Linked DNA regions of Caenorhabditis elegans. The protein of the gene in region 1 purifies or fractionates together with the protein of each later gene. This does not show direct contact. Each region holds a gene or a part of one and is shown on either strand. Other genes may lie near its edges.

The links.
Region 2: the proteins of rnt-1 (region 1) and sma-4 purify together in Caenorhabditis elegans (affinity purification with western blotting, with the first as the bait; one study listed by BioGRID). This does not show direct contact.

Annotation. Positions count from the first base shown.
Region 1 is NC_003279.8:5,782,238-5,789,154, forward strand, and holds rnt-1 (Runt-related transcription factor rnt-1), read left to right. Parts: upstream 1-1,573; 5' UTR 1,574-1,603; coding exon 1,604-1,672; intron 1,673-2,404; exon of another isoform or gene 2,405-2,425; intron 2,426-2,569; coding exon 2,570-2,687; intron 2,688-2,943; coding exon 2,944-3,063; intron 3,064-3,864; coding exon 3,865-3,938; intron 3,939-4,914; coding exon 4,915-5,031; intron 5,032-5,640; coding exon 5,641-5,699; intron 5,700-5,751; coding exon 5,752-5,870; intron 5,871-5,922; coding exon 5,923-6,152; 3' UTR 6,153-6,373; downstream 6,374-6,917. UniProt on the Caenorhabditis elegans protein: Transcription factor. Binds to regulatory DNA sequences in order to modulate transcription; negatively autoregulates its own expression, perhaps dependent upon CBF beta homolog bro-1.
Region 2 is NC_003281.10:5,814,522-5,820,708, forward strand, and holds sma-4 (Dwarfin sma-4), read left to right. Parts: upstream 1-1,710; 5' UTR 1,711-1,755; coding exon 1,756-1,827; intron 1,828-2,027; coding exon 2,028-2,105; intron 2,106-2,260; coding exon 2,261-2,575; intron 2,576-3,150; coding exon 3,151-3,291; intron 3,292-3,595; coding exon 3,596-3,700; intron 3,701-3,745; coding exon 3,746-3,959; intron 3,960-4,190; coding exon 4,191-4,351; intron 4,352-4,483; coding exon 4,484-4,611; intron 4,612-4,659; coding exon 4,660-4,825; intron 4,826-4,870; coding exon 4,871-4,972; intron 4,973-5,280; coding exon 5,281-5,403; intron 5,404-5,451; coding exon 5,452-5,544; 3' UTR 5,545-5,676; downstream 5,677-6,187. Other genes in the region: R12B2.7 (Ovule protein), read left to right, coding at 713-733, 786-992. UniProt on the Caenorhabditis elegans protein: Involved in TGF-beta pathway.

The sequences.
Region 1 (6,917 bases):
TTGAAGTAAATATTTAGTTCAGAAAAACAAACTCACAGTTAATAAGTCAAACATGAGTTTCAGCTATGAACGAAGCTTTGAAACCGGAAATCCAAATAACTATGAGTTTTCTTAAAGTTATCATATAAAATATTTAAAGAGTCATCCTATAAGTTTTATAAGAAAAAATATTTCTAGTACCATCCCCTTACTCAAAATTACTTCTGTTAGAGCAATAAGAAAAATACCGTAATTTCATTGTTTCTTATCGCGAAAACTCGAATCTGAAATAACGAGAAATGGTGGACGATTTTGGAGAAATTATTTGATTACCTAGTGAAAAAATATTGTACGTTCTTACAATTAAGTTGTCTCCTGGGCATGTTTTGTTTGGTAATTTCCGGAAATTCCGATTTCAAAATATTTTCTAATTTGGTAACTGCCAAATTGTTAAATTACCACAAATTTTAAAATATTTAGAAAAGGAAAGGCAAAATCCAGCAACTTTTGAAAAGAAACAAAAATTGAAATTGTAAAGAATTAAATAAGATGCAAATATATTCCAACTCTATCACAACTTCCTTGTAGGTTATTAAACTTTTTTAGATTCATAAGTAAATGTTTGTCTACTTGGAAAATTGTTGAATATATAATTTTCTTCATTTTCTTATTTGAAGTCATTCATAAACTTTATTTGAATAGAGTTATCAATTTTTGAGAAGTTGGTAGTTTAAAGAATGTGTAAGCAAATAAAATAACTTCCTTTTTTCTCTGGAATTCAACAATCTTTTTCCCCTCGTTTCGTTCCGTTTTAGTAATTTTCAAATTCTTTAACCAATTTCATAGGTGTGTCTTCTTTGAACATATAAACACCCATTTTGAAACTTCGTTTCTTTCCAAACCACACTTCCGCTTTATCAGTTGAAAACGGAGCACAATCGTCTATTTATCTAGTTTTTGCGGTTGCACGGCCAAAAGACATCATTGGCTCGTTTCTGGCAATCTTGTTTTTATTTATTTGTTTACTAAATGTTATGTTAAAATTTATTCGACGAAAAAAATGTTTTTCTTTGAATTTTATGGATCAAAATATAATTTTAAGGCGGAGAAGGATCAGTGGAAATTTTGTCAAAAAACATATATGTATACTCGAAATGTTTTTTTTTTAATCTGAGTATCCAAATAAGACACACTAAAACGTTTCAGATTTGTCAGTTTTTTTTTCAGTCTTCTGACAGTTTTGGAAAAATACCTCGAAACATTTGGACCTTTCGAGGAATTCAGTATTATTGCATTCCTATAAAAAATAAAACTCGTAGAACATTTTTTGGTTGACTTCCAAAATTATTATAATGAGCATTTGTCACTGTTTGTCTGAAAATAATAAAATGCACTATGATATTTGGTCACAAAAAGCACTAGTAGTAATTTTAAATAATTTCCCTACTCCGCCTTGAAACCCCCATAAAAAATGTACATGAAGCTTTCAGATCTCTAATTTTTTTTTGTCATTATGATTGCAAGCAATAGTTTCATTGTTCTTGAATTTTCAAATACCTTCTATCACTACTCAATTAAATATGTTCATTTTCAGTGCTGGAAGTATTCTGGGAAACTAACAGAAATGACCAACGTCTTCCATCACGTTCGGAATTTTATAGAGCAACAACCTGCACCTGCTAAAACATTAGAGGTATGTATGGCACTTGAACACCTGTGATTCTTTATAAAAAAACTTCGAAGTCTTAGGTTTTCAATTTTTAAACTTTCTTAAGTCATTTATTCGGTTTTCGGAAGAAAAATCGTTTTTTAAAACCTGAAATATTGATAAACCTGGATTTTTTCAATTTTTCCTAAAATCATAATCTAGTCACTTTAACTTTAAAATTGTACCTGTATATCACAATAATTTTGAATTGAGCATTTCGATTCGAAATTGGGAAATTTTGGTTTTGTTACAGTGACTTTTAACAATTGTTCCTAAAATTTCCAAAAATCCGAACGTAAAAGAACTTACAATTTATCTAGTCTGTGAACGGAATTTCTACAGTTTTTTTTTAATTTTCGTTCATAACATTAGAAAAAGTTGAGTTAATTTTCCCGGCAAAGTTTTACAAATTTAAATGTACTTTTTTAAAAATTTCAAAACTCTTCCTTTTCTTGAGAGTATACGGTAGTTCATGACTCTAGGGTATTGATTTTCCATAGTCAATTATGAGCAGATTTTATCAAATCATCTTAAAGATTTACGAGACGGTATGAAATGAAAAATAAAAATTACACTACACCAAACTACAACTTATAGCAACATTTTTACATTTTGTTTTTGAACTTTTTTTTGCAAGACATAGAGTATATTGATTTTGCATCGGTTGGAAATTGAGTAATCAAATGAATACAGTAATCTTCATTCTCTTATCATAAAAGTATTCAGCTCAAACCACAAGCATTTCGATGATTTTGTTGAGTTTTAGAGGTTTCATTGAAATTGACTTTGTAATTATCAATCGAAAAATATTACATTTTATATAATGACGAACAAGAGTGTAAAAGAATTGTGAGATATTTTTACAAAACAATAAATTTTCAGAAATCATCATCTCCAAACATTTTATACACAGCTCTTCCGAAGCATTGGAGATCAAATAAATCATTTCAAGAACCATTTTATGTTGTATTACTAACGCCTGTTCCAGATAATACAGAAGGTAAATTATTGATTTTTCTTTTGATTCACTTTCGTATTTATATTTTTACTTTTTTCAAAACTCTCTACGATTTGAAATAAGTTTGGAATGATTTTTTTGGAATTTTGCCTTCTCTTGAATTATTGTTGAAATCATGTGATTGAGCATTTCTGAAAATGATAAAACAAACCTTATATTTGCATTGCTTTATGTTGAAATTTATATTTCAAAATAAATAAAAAAAGCAATTTCTTCACTGCTCAAATAATATTTTCAGTATCAATTTGGGCTGGAAATGACGAAAAACCATGCGAAGAAGTTCGAAATGAGAAAGCAAAAGTGCATCGACAAGTGGCAAAATTTAACGATTTGCGGTTTGTCGGGCGGTCCGGCAGAGGTGAGTACTGTAGCCAAATAACCGGTTGGCGCGGGTAGAAAAAAGGGGTAATGACCACATATTTGTGGGTATTAGTACAAAGTAGTCAACTGACAAAGAAGTACTGTATATGTAACTGCAATTGGTAGGTAAGTAGAGAAAAGTGGTGAGAGGTAAGAATGCGGGTAGAAAAAGTATGACACTTGGGAGACAAAAAAAAATGAAACTTCCTAAAATTACTAATAGTAAATTAAATAATTTAATTCCCTGATAAATACATTTCATATTCTACCTATTAGTTTCTATCAATCTATCAATTACAACGTTATGGGCTTTGAACTTCATTTTTCCTAAATTTATCAATAAATATAAAATAACCGATATGTAAAATTCCAAAGTTGAGCTCTGGGAAGTGCATGGAAATGCACGGTTTATTATAATAACGTATGGTGCATGTAACTTTTAGTTGTATCAAAAAACCAAAAAATTAATTTAACCTCTTATAAATCTATTGATTTGTGTTTTCTTATCATTTTTTCCACTTCTGTCTAAACATTTTCTCATTTTAAAAGCGCATACATTAACGGCCGTGTTCCACATTAAAATAATAAAATTTTCCAATAAACTGATGATTCCACCTGAGTAGTCTGACCGGAGCCATTATATTATCCGGAACATCAGTGTAACATAAAAATGCGCGACAAATGCCCGCATTTAATGGGATACTTTTTGTGAGGTGGCGGCGGCGGCGGAATGGAGAAGAACATCGTCGGCTCATAATAAAACTGCACATTTTCCAATCGTTTTTTGTGTCTTTTGCAGGCCGAAAATTCCATTTGACAATCGTTATACATTCGGCGCCGATGATGGTGGCCACCGTCAAAAATGTGATCAAGGTGAGTTTATCCGAATGGATTGTGGGAAGTTTTGTGGAATTCTAAGGAGAAGGGAATGTATTTATATGATATCATGTAGATTTTAAATGCGCCTATAGGTAATTGATAATTACATTGAGTAAGTATCAATCTTTTTTTGAATTAATTGGATAACTTATGATTCAAAAATTACCAAATATTTCCCTACCCAGAACCGAAGTTGTGCTATTTTTGAGGCAAAATAGATTTTTTGGCTGCTACAACTCGCAAATGAATAATACAAATTAAGGGTCTCGAAACGACTGATTTTTTTGGAATAAAAAGGAGCATGCACCTCTCAAGGGTACTGTAGTTTTACATCCACTCTAATTCTTATTTCTCTTCGAGCATCTGATTTTACAAAAAACAACGAAAAATCGAAAAAAGTTGTGACGTGAGAACTACATACTTTTTAATGAGCGTATTCCATTCTATAGCTAACATTTTAAAACATTTCCGTCGTGTCGAGACCCTGTAATTGCCACTCAAAATTTTGGAAGTCGACCAAAAAAAGCTTTATTCTTTTAAATTTTTTGTTGGGGCAAACATGAGAAATTGCTCAGAATCTCCCAAAAATGTTAGGAAATCAAAAAAAATTTTAAGCGTTTTTATGATATCAGTTATTTTATGAGTACAAATTTATACAAAATTCCCTCTTTAACTACTCCATCTTTAAGTTTTCTAAAACAATGTATAGATTTACCGCACATCAACTACCGTACTCTCTTATCTGATTATTAACCACGATGCGTCACCTGGTACACCTCTTTACAAATAAAAACTAGTTTTCAGAAAGCCTAGTAATCGGTAAATATTCTTATCAATTGCAACTTCTTATGTTGCATTGAGTTTTGGTTTATTTATTCAAATTTATTTTTTAAAAAAGGAAGCCAAATATGTTGGAATGGGAAGAAATGATGTCAGTTTAATACGATAAAACTTATTAATTTAATTATAGGTTACGGTTGATGGACCAAGGGATGCGAGAATACCAAAACCACAAGGATCTTTGAAACGGCAGGCAGAACAGCAGACAATATTCCCAAATGATATTATCCGAACGCCTGGACCACCGGTACGATTTTTTGATTTTTGTACAAACAAAATTTTGTATTAATTACTTAAGTATAGGGTCTCGAAATTACCAGAATTTGTTGAATAAAGCCTGAGAAAAAAAGGATGTGACTTTAAGAAGTACAGTAGTCTCCTTTTTCTGAAATCGAGGCAAATGAAAACGCTCCGCCCCCTCATGTTGGGTCTCGTTAGGTATTGGCGGGAATATCAGAAATTCAAACGTTTTCAATAACTTTTGCTGATTTCACCTGATTTCGAGAATTAAATTGTTTCTACTCTCAATTGACTCTAATGATTTTTACTGTGAAATAATGTTTTGAAAAGTACAGAAAAGTGAATAAGGGTTTTTATTTGATTATGAATTTTATGGCATCAGTTTCGATATAAAATTCATCCGATAATACCTAACGAGACCCAGCGTTTGGGGGCGGAGACTTTTGGCGTTGGAGCGCGCTCACACCCCCAATTTCAAAATTCACATTTTTCTGCGTCCCCAATATAAAAAATTCATTCATTTTTGAAATGTTTTTAATTTGAAAAATTCTGCAAAAAACTGTAGAAGAACATTCATGAAAAAATTGCAAACAATTTTTAAAAATTTAATTTTCAGATGCCAATGACAATGATTCCACCACCATGGTTTCCTTTACCAATGACTCAAACTTTCCCGTAAGTTTTTCGAATTTCACATTATTCATAAAATAATTTTTATATTTTTCAGCCCATCATTTTTTCCGCTTATCTCTCCAGGACCACATCCTTCTATCTCAGCTGCACTTTGGAAAATTCACAGCGAATCGATGAAAACTCCGATTAAACAAAAAGTTGAACAGGAAAATGGTTAGATTATTTTTTCGGAAATAAATATATATATATAATTTATTAATTGCAGTATCCCTTAATACGTCTACATGCCTATCATCTCCATCAATTTTTATAACTCCAACTTCTGATGATCGGAAGTTAAAACGACCATCTTCTCCTCGTTCAATCACAAAATCATCAGAAACTTCAATTAATTTAATTCAAGAAACTCCGGAATCTGTAGAATCAAAAAGACGAAGAAATGTATCAATAACTTCATCGAATAGTTCTTCTCCGACTATTTGGAGGCCTTTTTAATCTTAAAAATATTCATTATTTTACCACAACACACCAAATTTCTCTCAATTTCCAAATCTCAATTGTTTCCTACCTCTTCAGTCACTTTTCTCAATATTCTCGTTTTAAAACACGTTCAACGGGTTCATTTAACGGTTTTCAACCTTTTTTGTATAATAATACAAGTTTTGATCTAAATCGGAATAGATTATCATCATATCTAATAAAGTTTCAGGTTTGAATTCAACTAGACAACAAGTCGTACTATCGAAAAAATTTTATTCGAAAAAAAAATTAATGCGCAATCTGCGAGAAAATATGCAATTGGGGAGGATGTGAAAGAGTACTTAAGATGAATAATTTTATAAGTGATAAAAAAGATAAAACGTTACCTTCGATTCTTCTTGTATACATTAAACGAGAGGGAGGTAAAACGCAATGCGGAGAGTTTAAATCTACAGATGGGACCAAGAAAATGGCATACGAATTGATTGCGAATGACAAGGAAAAATGGCATCAGATTCGGATAAGAGTTGGGAGATGGATGATTAGAAACACAACAAAATAACAAAATTGATTAAAAAAACAAACAATTAAGAAGGCCCAAACTAAACGCTACAGGGGAAAACAAAAAAAGATGTTACAGATGCAATATGATTCACAGGGAGTTTTCTCATTCATAGTTTTCAGCAAACATAAACTACGTTGATTATTTCTACAGAACTACGAGCGACGGAACTTATATAAAATATTCGAATAGTAATGAGAACATGGCAATTTTTGATG
Region 2 (6,187 bases), on another chromosome or scaffold:
TGATCATCGTATATAGCGCATTTGTATTGCCGTTCTGCTGATCATGGTCTGAAGCAGCCAACATTGTGCGGCACCGCCTCCCTAATATGAAATTTTAGTGACACACGAAGTGCCCGCTGCTGCTTCAACACTTAAAGATATGTTCTATTGATGTGACATACGTGACCGTTGGCAGATAAGCAATAAACCAGGAAAATGTCTGAAAATTAGCTATTTCCCTTTCTTTCAACTTGTGCCACTCTCTCTCTCTCTCTCTCTCTCTCTCTCTCTCTCTCTCTCTCTCTCTCTATTTTTCTCCGATTCCATCCTCTCCTCCTCTTCCCATTCACCTGTTATGATCATTTATCGTCACTGGCGCCGAAGAGACGCAGAGTGATGGGTATGTGGAGGTAGAGAACACATATGGGCACATCCCCCTTACACAAATTAGGTGTGACGGCTTCGAATTAAATTGATCGATGAGCAGTCCGCACCGATGGGACAGTTCCCGGCATATTGAACAAAACAGTGTCTCAGGCTGGTTAAGACACAATTTTATGCTACACGGTGTTGTCACGTAGATTGCGGTTGGTAGAGTTTGCAGGGACGCAGAGAGGCTAGAGACTTTGGCTGTCTGCACTCTCTCCTCGCCTTCTCACCATGTGGCCGCGAGATATATTGATGGCCGAGTTTTCTCCATTCATAATGAAACAAGTCCCCCGGATGGCCAGAAATGGTTTTTATAACTTTGTTTGTGGGTGACCTAGTTCTCTCAATTGTTTCAGATAATTTAAACTATTTTGCAGAATGGACTGTTCACATTTCTCTATCATTTTATTTTTTGCTCGCTGAGCATTTCTGATCTTTTGATGATGTACTTTTTTACTTCCTTCGTCATTCCCACCCTGAACGATAAACTAATTTCCCTTTCGATTAATGCTTTTTCTTTTCCAAAATTGCACTTTTATCATTTTCAAAGAAGAAAAAGAGATGGCATGACAATTGTCAGATGATTCTGAGGTTCGACTTTATTAAAATTAGCAATGTTTTTTTTTTATGTTATGGAGAATTTTTTAAATAGTTCTCCACTGACTCACTGTTGAATAATTTTTACTTGTAGAATTGTTTCTGTGGGAGAAGCATTCAAAAATTAATCACATCTATTTTCAGAATTCCACTCCTTATTTTAGTTGTTTGTTGTTACATGTACTTATGTACTTAGTAATTGACACATTGCACAATTATTTAAATGCGTGGTAAAGTGCACAAAACAAAGAGTATAAGAATATAGTTTGGTTTTCATAGTTGGAATGCTGGACTGATTGCTGGAATGTTGGAATGTTTGTTGTGGTAGGTCGGTGTGTCTGCTGTAGTTAGGGAGTTTTCCCTAAATCCAAGTTTTCAAACACACTTCATCCTTTCCTTGAAAGCACAATTTAAAAAGAAATAAATCATATAATTGGAACATTTATTTTTAAATTGAGATCCCATTGCTGTTTGATTTGTCCCTTCTTTCTGATCTTCATCCTTAATCGTCTTCTTCCGTTGTCACCTCGAATCACAACTTCATTTATTCTTCATTATCTGATTATCACCAACCGTTCTAAGTAAGCACCTCCCATTTTCTCCATTCAGCTCTCCCGTATTCTCTGCTTCCCGTGACTCCGCCTCTTTTTTCAACTTTTTTGTGGGTTTGCTATCATTTTCTATCTCTCAATCTTTGTCACTTTGTTCTCGAAAAACGTCTGAATTGGTCGAATAATGTTTCATCCAGGTATGACATCTCAGCCGTCTACTTCTAACCAAATGTATTATGATCCTTTGTATGGAGCAGAGCAAATTGTACAGGTGAGCACTATATTGTAGGAGACAGTTCAAGAGAGAGCGCGAGAGAATGAGAGAATATGAACATTTTTGGGGAACACTTATCTATTATAGTAGTCTAGTAATTGCTTCTGATTCTTAAAATACAAATAAAACTGTCTTCGTGCTTTGCATTTAGAAACTGAAGTACAAAATTCAGACAATATTAATTTTAACTATTTCAGTGCAATCCAATGGATTACCACCAGGCAAATATTTTATGCGGAATGCAGTATTTCAACAACTCGCATAATCGATATCCGGTTGGTTCAGTGATATTTGAAAACTAATTCTCTCAAAAATAAAATGGACCTCATTTTACTATTTTTCTGCATATGTAACGAAAAAATCAATAAACTTATATCCCAGTGACCAAATCGATAAGCTTTTCAAAATTTATTAAATCAAAAAATTTCAGTTATTACCTCAAATGCCACCACAGTTCACAAATGATCATCCATATGATTTTCCGAACGTGCCGACAATAAGTACTCTTGACGAAGCGTCTTCTTTTAATGGATTTTTGATACCTTCTCAACCATCTTCATATAACAATAATAACATTTCTTGTGTATTTACGCCTACACCATGTACATCATCACAAGCTTCATCCCAACCTCCACCTACACCTACAGTCAATCCAACACCGATTCCACCGAATGCTGGAGCAGTTCTCACAACTGCAATGGATTCATGTCAGCAGATTTCACATGTTTTACAATGTTATCAGCAGGTAGAAGGGGTCTTTGAAAAATAGAAAAATTTTAAGTAAAAATATAATGTTTTAAAATACTTGTTTTCCTATTAAAATACATTTCAAGTTGTATGGATTTTAAGTTTTCAAAAAAAATTGCTGAGAAAGTTGCATATTCATATCTGCTTGGGATTTATGAAAATTTTCGAACCAAAAATTTAGATTAAACTGAAACTTCTCTACATTTGAAAATAACGTACTAGACTTGAAATTTTTATTTGATTTCCTCTGATGAAATCATTGAATAAAACTCTGAAAATTTCAGAGCTCCAGAATTTTTTCTTTCTTGTAAACTTTAACATAAAACTTTAGGAAAGAAAAAACTCTGGAATTTTTACAAAATAGTTCTGAAACTACTTTTCCACTTTTATTTTTCAGAACAATTTTGAAAAAGGTATTCCAAAACTTGTCAAGCAAAACAAAAGAAGTTTTAATAATTAAAAAAAACTCCAAACTACAAAACAAACATTGTGGGTACGGCAGGCGCCAAGATAGCTGTGGAATTTGAAAACTGGAGCATTGAAAGAGAATTAAACAATTTACACGTGTTTCAGGGTGGAGAGGACAGTGATTTTGTACGGAAAGCCATCGAATCTCTTGTCAAAAAATTGAAAGACAAACGAATTGAATTGGATGCATTGATTACAGCAGTTACTTCAAATGGAAAACAACCAACTGGATGTGTTACTATTCAGGTTTGAAATAATACAACCTTTTGCTTCTGTACAGTAACCTAAAATTTTTTATTTTATGCTTGGAATTTTCGAAAATTTCAAAATTCCAGATATAAATTTCAGCAGTTTATGGGTATTTCAAAGAGAAAAACATGTTGCTTGCCAACTTTCTAAAATAACCAACAAAATTTTCAAATTTTTTTTCGTGAATTTGAAGTAAAATAATAATGTCAAAGTTTTTTCCGGTTTGAACATTTTAAATGGATTTTTGTTAGTACTTCCGATTCTTCAATTTTAAATACAGTTATCATCTTTAAAAGTTTAGAGATCCTTGGATGGACGCCTTCAAGTTGCTGGACGGAAAGGTGTTCCACATGTAGTTTACGCAAGAATATGGAGATGGCCAAAAGTTAGCAAAAATGAACTTGTGGTACATGAAAATGTTTGAACTCGGAAATAAACTGAACTATTCCAGAAATTAGTTCAATGTCAAACTTCATCAGATCATCCTGATAATATTTGCATTAATCCTTATCACTACGAAAGAGTTGTCTCAAATCGGATAACAAGTGCAGATCAATCACTTCACGTGGAGAATTCACCTATGAAGAGCGAATATTTAGGAGATGCAGGAGTTATTGATAGCTGCAGTGATTGGCCGAACACACCTCCTGATAACAATTTTAATGGTAAGAGTTGAACTCCAAAACTGTAAGTAGAGGTGGCTGCTCTCTCTCTCTGACTTTTATGCCTGCCTACGTACCTTCTAATACTTATTTGTTTGATATGGATGTTTAGTGAAGATAAAGGGTAGATAGAGGCATTTCTCATCTGCCCAAGATGAGCATGAATATATTTAATACAAAATCAACACTGAGAATTTTAGAGACCGATTTTAAATGTGACCCAATTTTTTTCAGGAGGATTTGCACCAGATCAACCTCAGCTAGTCACACCGATTATTTCTGATATTCCGATAGATCTCAATCAAATATATGTTCCAACACCTCCACAATTACTTGATAATTGGTGTTCAATCATTTATTATGAACTGGATACACCCATTGGTGAAACCTTTAAGGTATGTTTTTCTATGAAATCTGATGACTATTCATTCATGGTGCAAATCGCCTAGAAATTTTTGTGAAAGAGCGTGATTCTATCAAAAATGTGCAATGGCGTTATTAAATAATTTTAATTTTCTAAATTTTAGGTCAGCGCCCGCGATCATGGAAAAGTAATAGTAGATGGTGGAATGGATCCACATGGAGAAAATGAAGGAAGGTTATGTCTTGGAGCACTTTCAAATGTTCATCGAACAGAAGCTAGTGAAAAAGCAAGGTAATTTTAATTCAGGATCATGAAGAAAAATATAACACTGTTTTGCAGAATCCATATTGGTCGTGGTGTTGAATTAACCGCTCACGCCGATGGCAACATCTCTATCACTTCAAATTGTAAAATTTTCGTCCGATCCGGGTACCTAGACTACACTCATGGATCCGAGTACAGTAGTAAAGCACATCGATTCACTCCGAATGAATCTTCATTTACAGTATGTTCCCATTCAGGGAGTTTTACAAATGATAGAATGTTACAGGTATTCGACATCAGATGGGCCTACATGCAGATGCTCCGACGTTCTCGATCAAGCAATGAAGCAGTACGAGCACAGGCGGCAGCTGTTGCTGGATATGCACCGGTTAGTAGTAATTTGCAAGCAAAAAAACGACTCGACGCACCATATGGTGCATCATATGATCAGTGTACTGATTTTCTGCACGGACCCAATGCCATAGTTCACTTAAAAATTATTAGTGAAACTGACTAAATTTGCGACCAGGGTGATGTATTATTTCTGAGAATCAAAGATTCAATTTACCCTGATGATGCTTCGGGCATCAGCTAGCTAATTGTACACTTTTAATTCACAGACTCAAAGCATCATATATCACGAACACGAACAAGCAAAGCCTGATACCCAAGTTTAAAAAATATTTAAAAATTCAGATGTCCGTGATGCCAGCGATAATGCCTGACAGTGGAGTTGACAGGATGCGTCGTGACTTCTGTACAATTGCGATTTCATTTGTAAAAGCTTGGGGTGATGTCTACCAGAGGAAAACTATTAAGGTATGTCGACTACTCTATAAGAACTAGTCACCAATGACTTTTTTCCAGGAAACCCCATGTTGGATTGAAGTAACTTTGCACCGTCCTCTACAAATACTGGACCAGCTTCTCAAAAATAGTTCTCAATTTGGAAGTTCCTAACACTTATTTTTTATTTTTCTTCAATAATGATATCTACCTGTATTTACGTACCCCAGCAGTTTCTCATATTCATGTGCGTTGTAAAATCTCCTTTTTTGAATTTTTTCACTTTGGAAATAAAGTTTTTAGCATAGTAAATACAACCACACTATGTAAAAATAGGTTGCAGGAAAAATCAAAGAAATTTTAAAAAAATGAGCGGTTGAGTTTTCTCTTTTGGTGGCCGCGTTGACGAAATGGAAGAATCAAACCATATGCACCATTGTCATCATATTTACTTACCCAGAGCCATTATGGTTGATTGAAAATTCATGGTTGAATTCTCACATATGGAATATCATTCCCACGAATTCCCACTAATTTCTTCAATGAAGTTCAAAATAAGAGTGCTCGACGGTCTCTCCCCTCTGTGCCAGTGACAAAAAAAGTGCCCCATTCCGGGAGAATTATGTCCCTTGAGAACCATTTTGCCAGGGGCCGTGAGTGTGTCGCCCCCTTTCTACTCTATCCTAGTGGCCCTTTGTCTGTGCGACACAAAATATTCCAAAAGTAACACTATCATTTTTATTGTCTTCTCCTACACTCATCCCCATTTCACTGAGCCATTCCTCTGAATGTTGCAGTTTTATGTGCAATTTTTTTC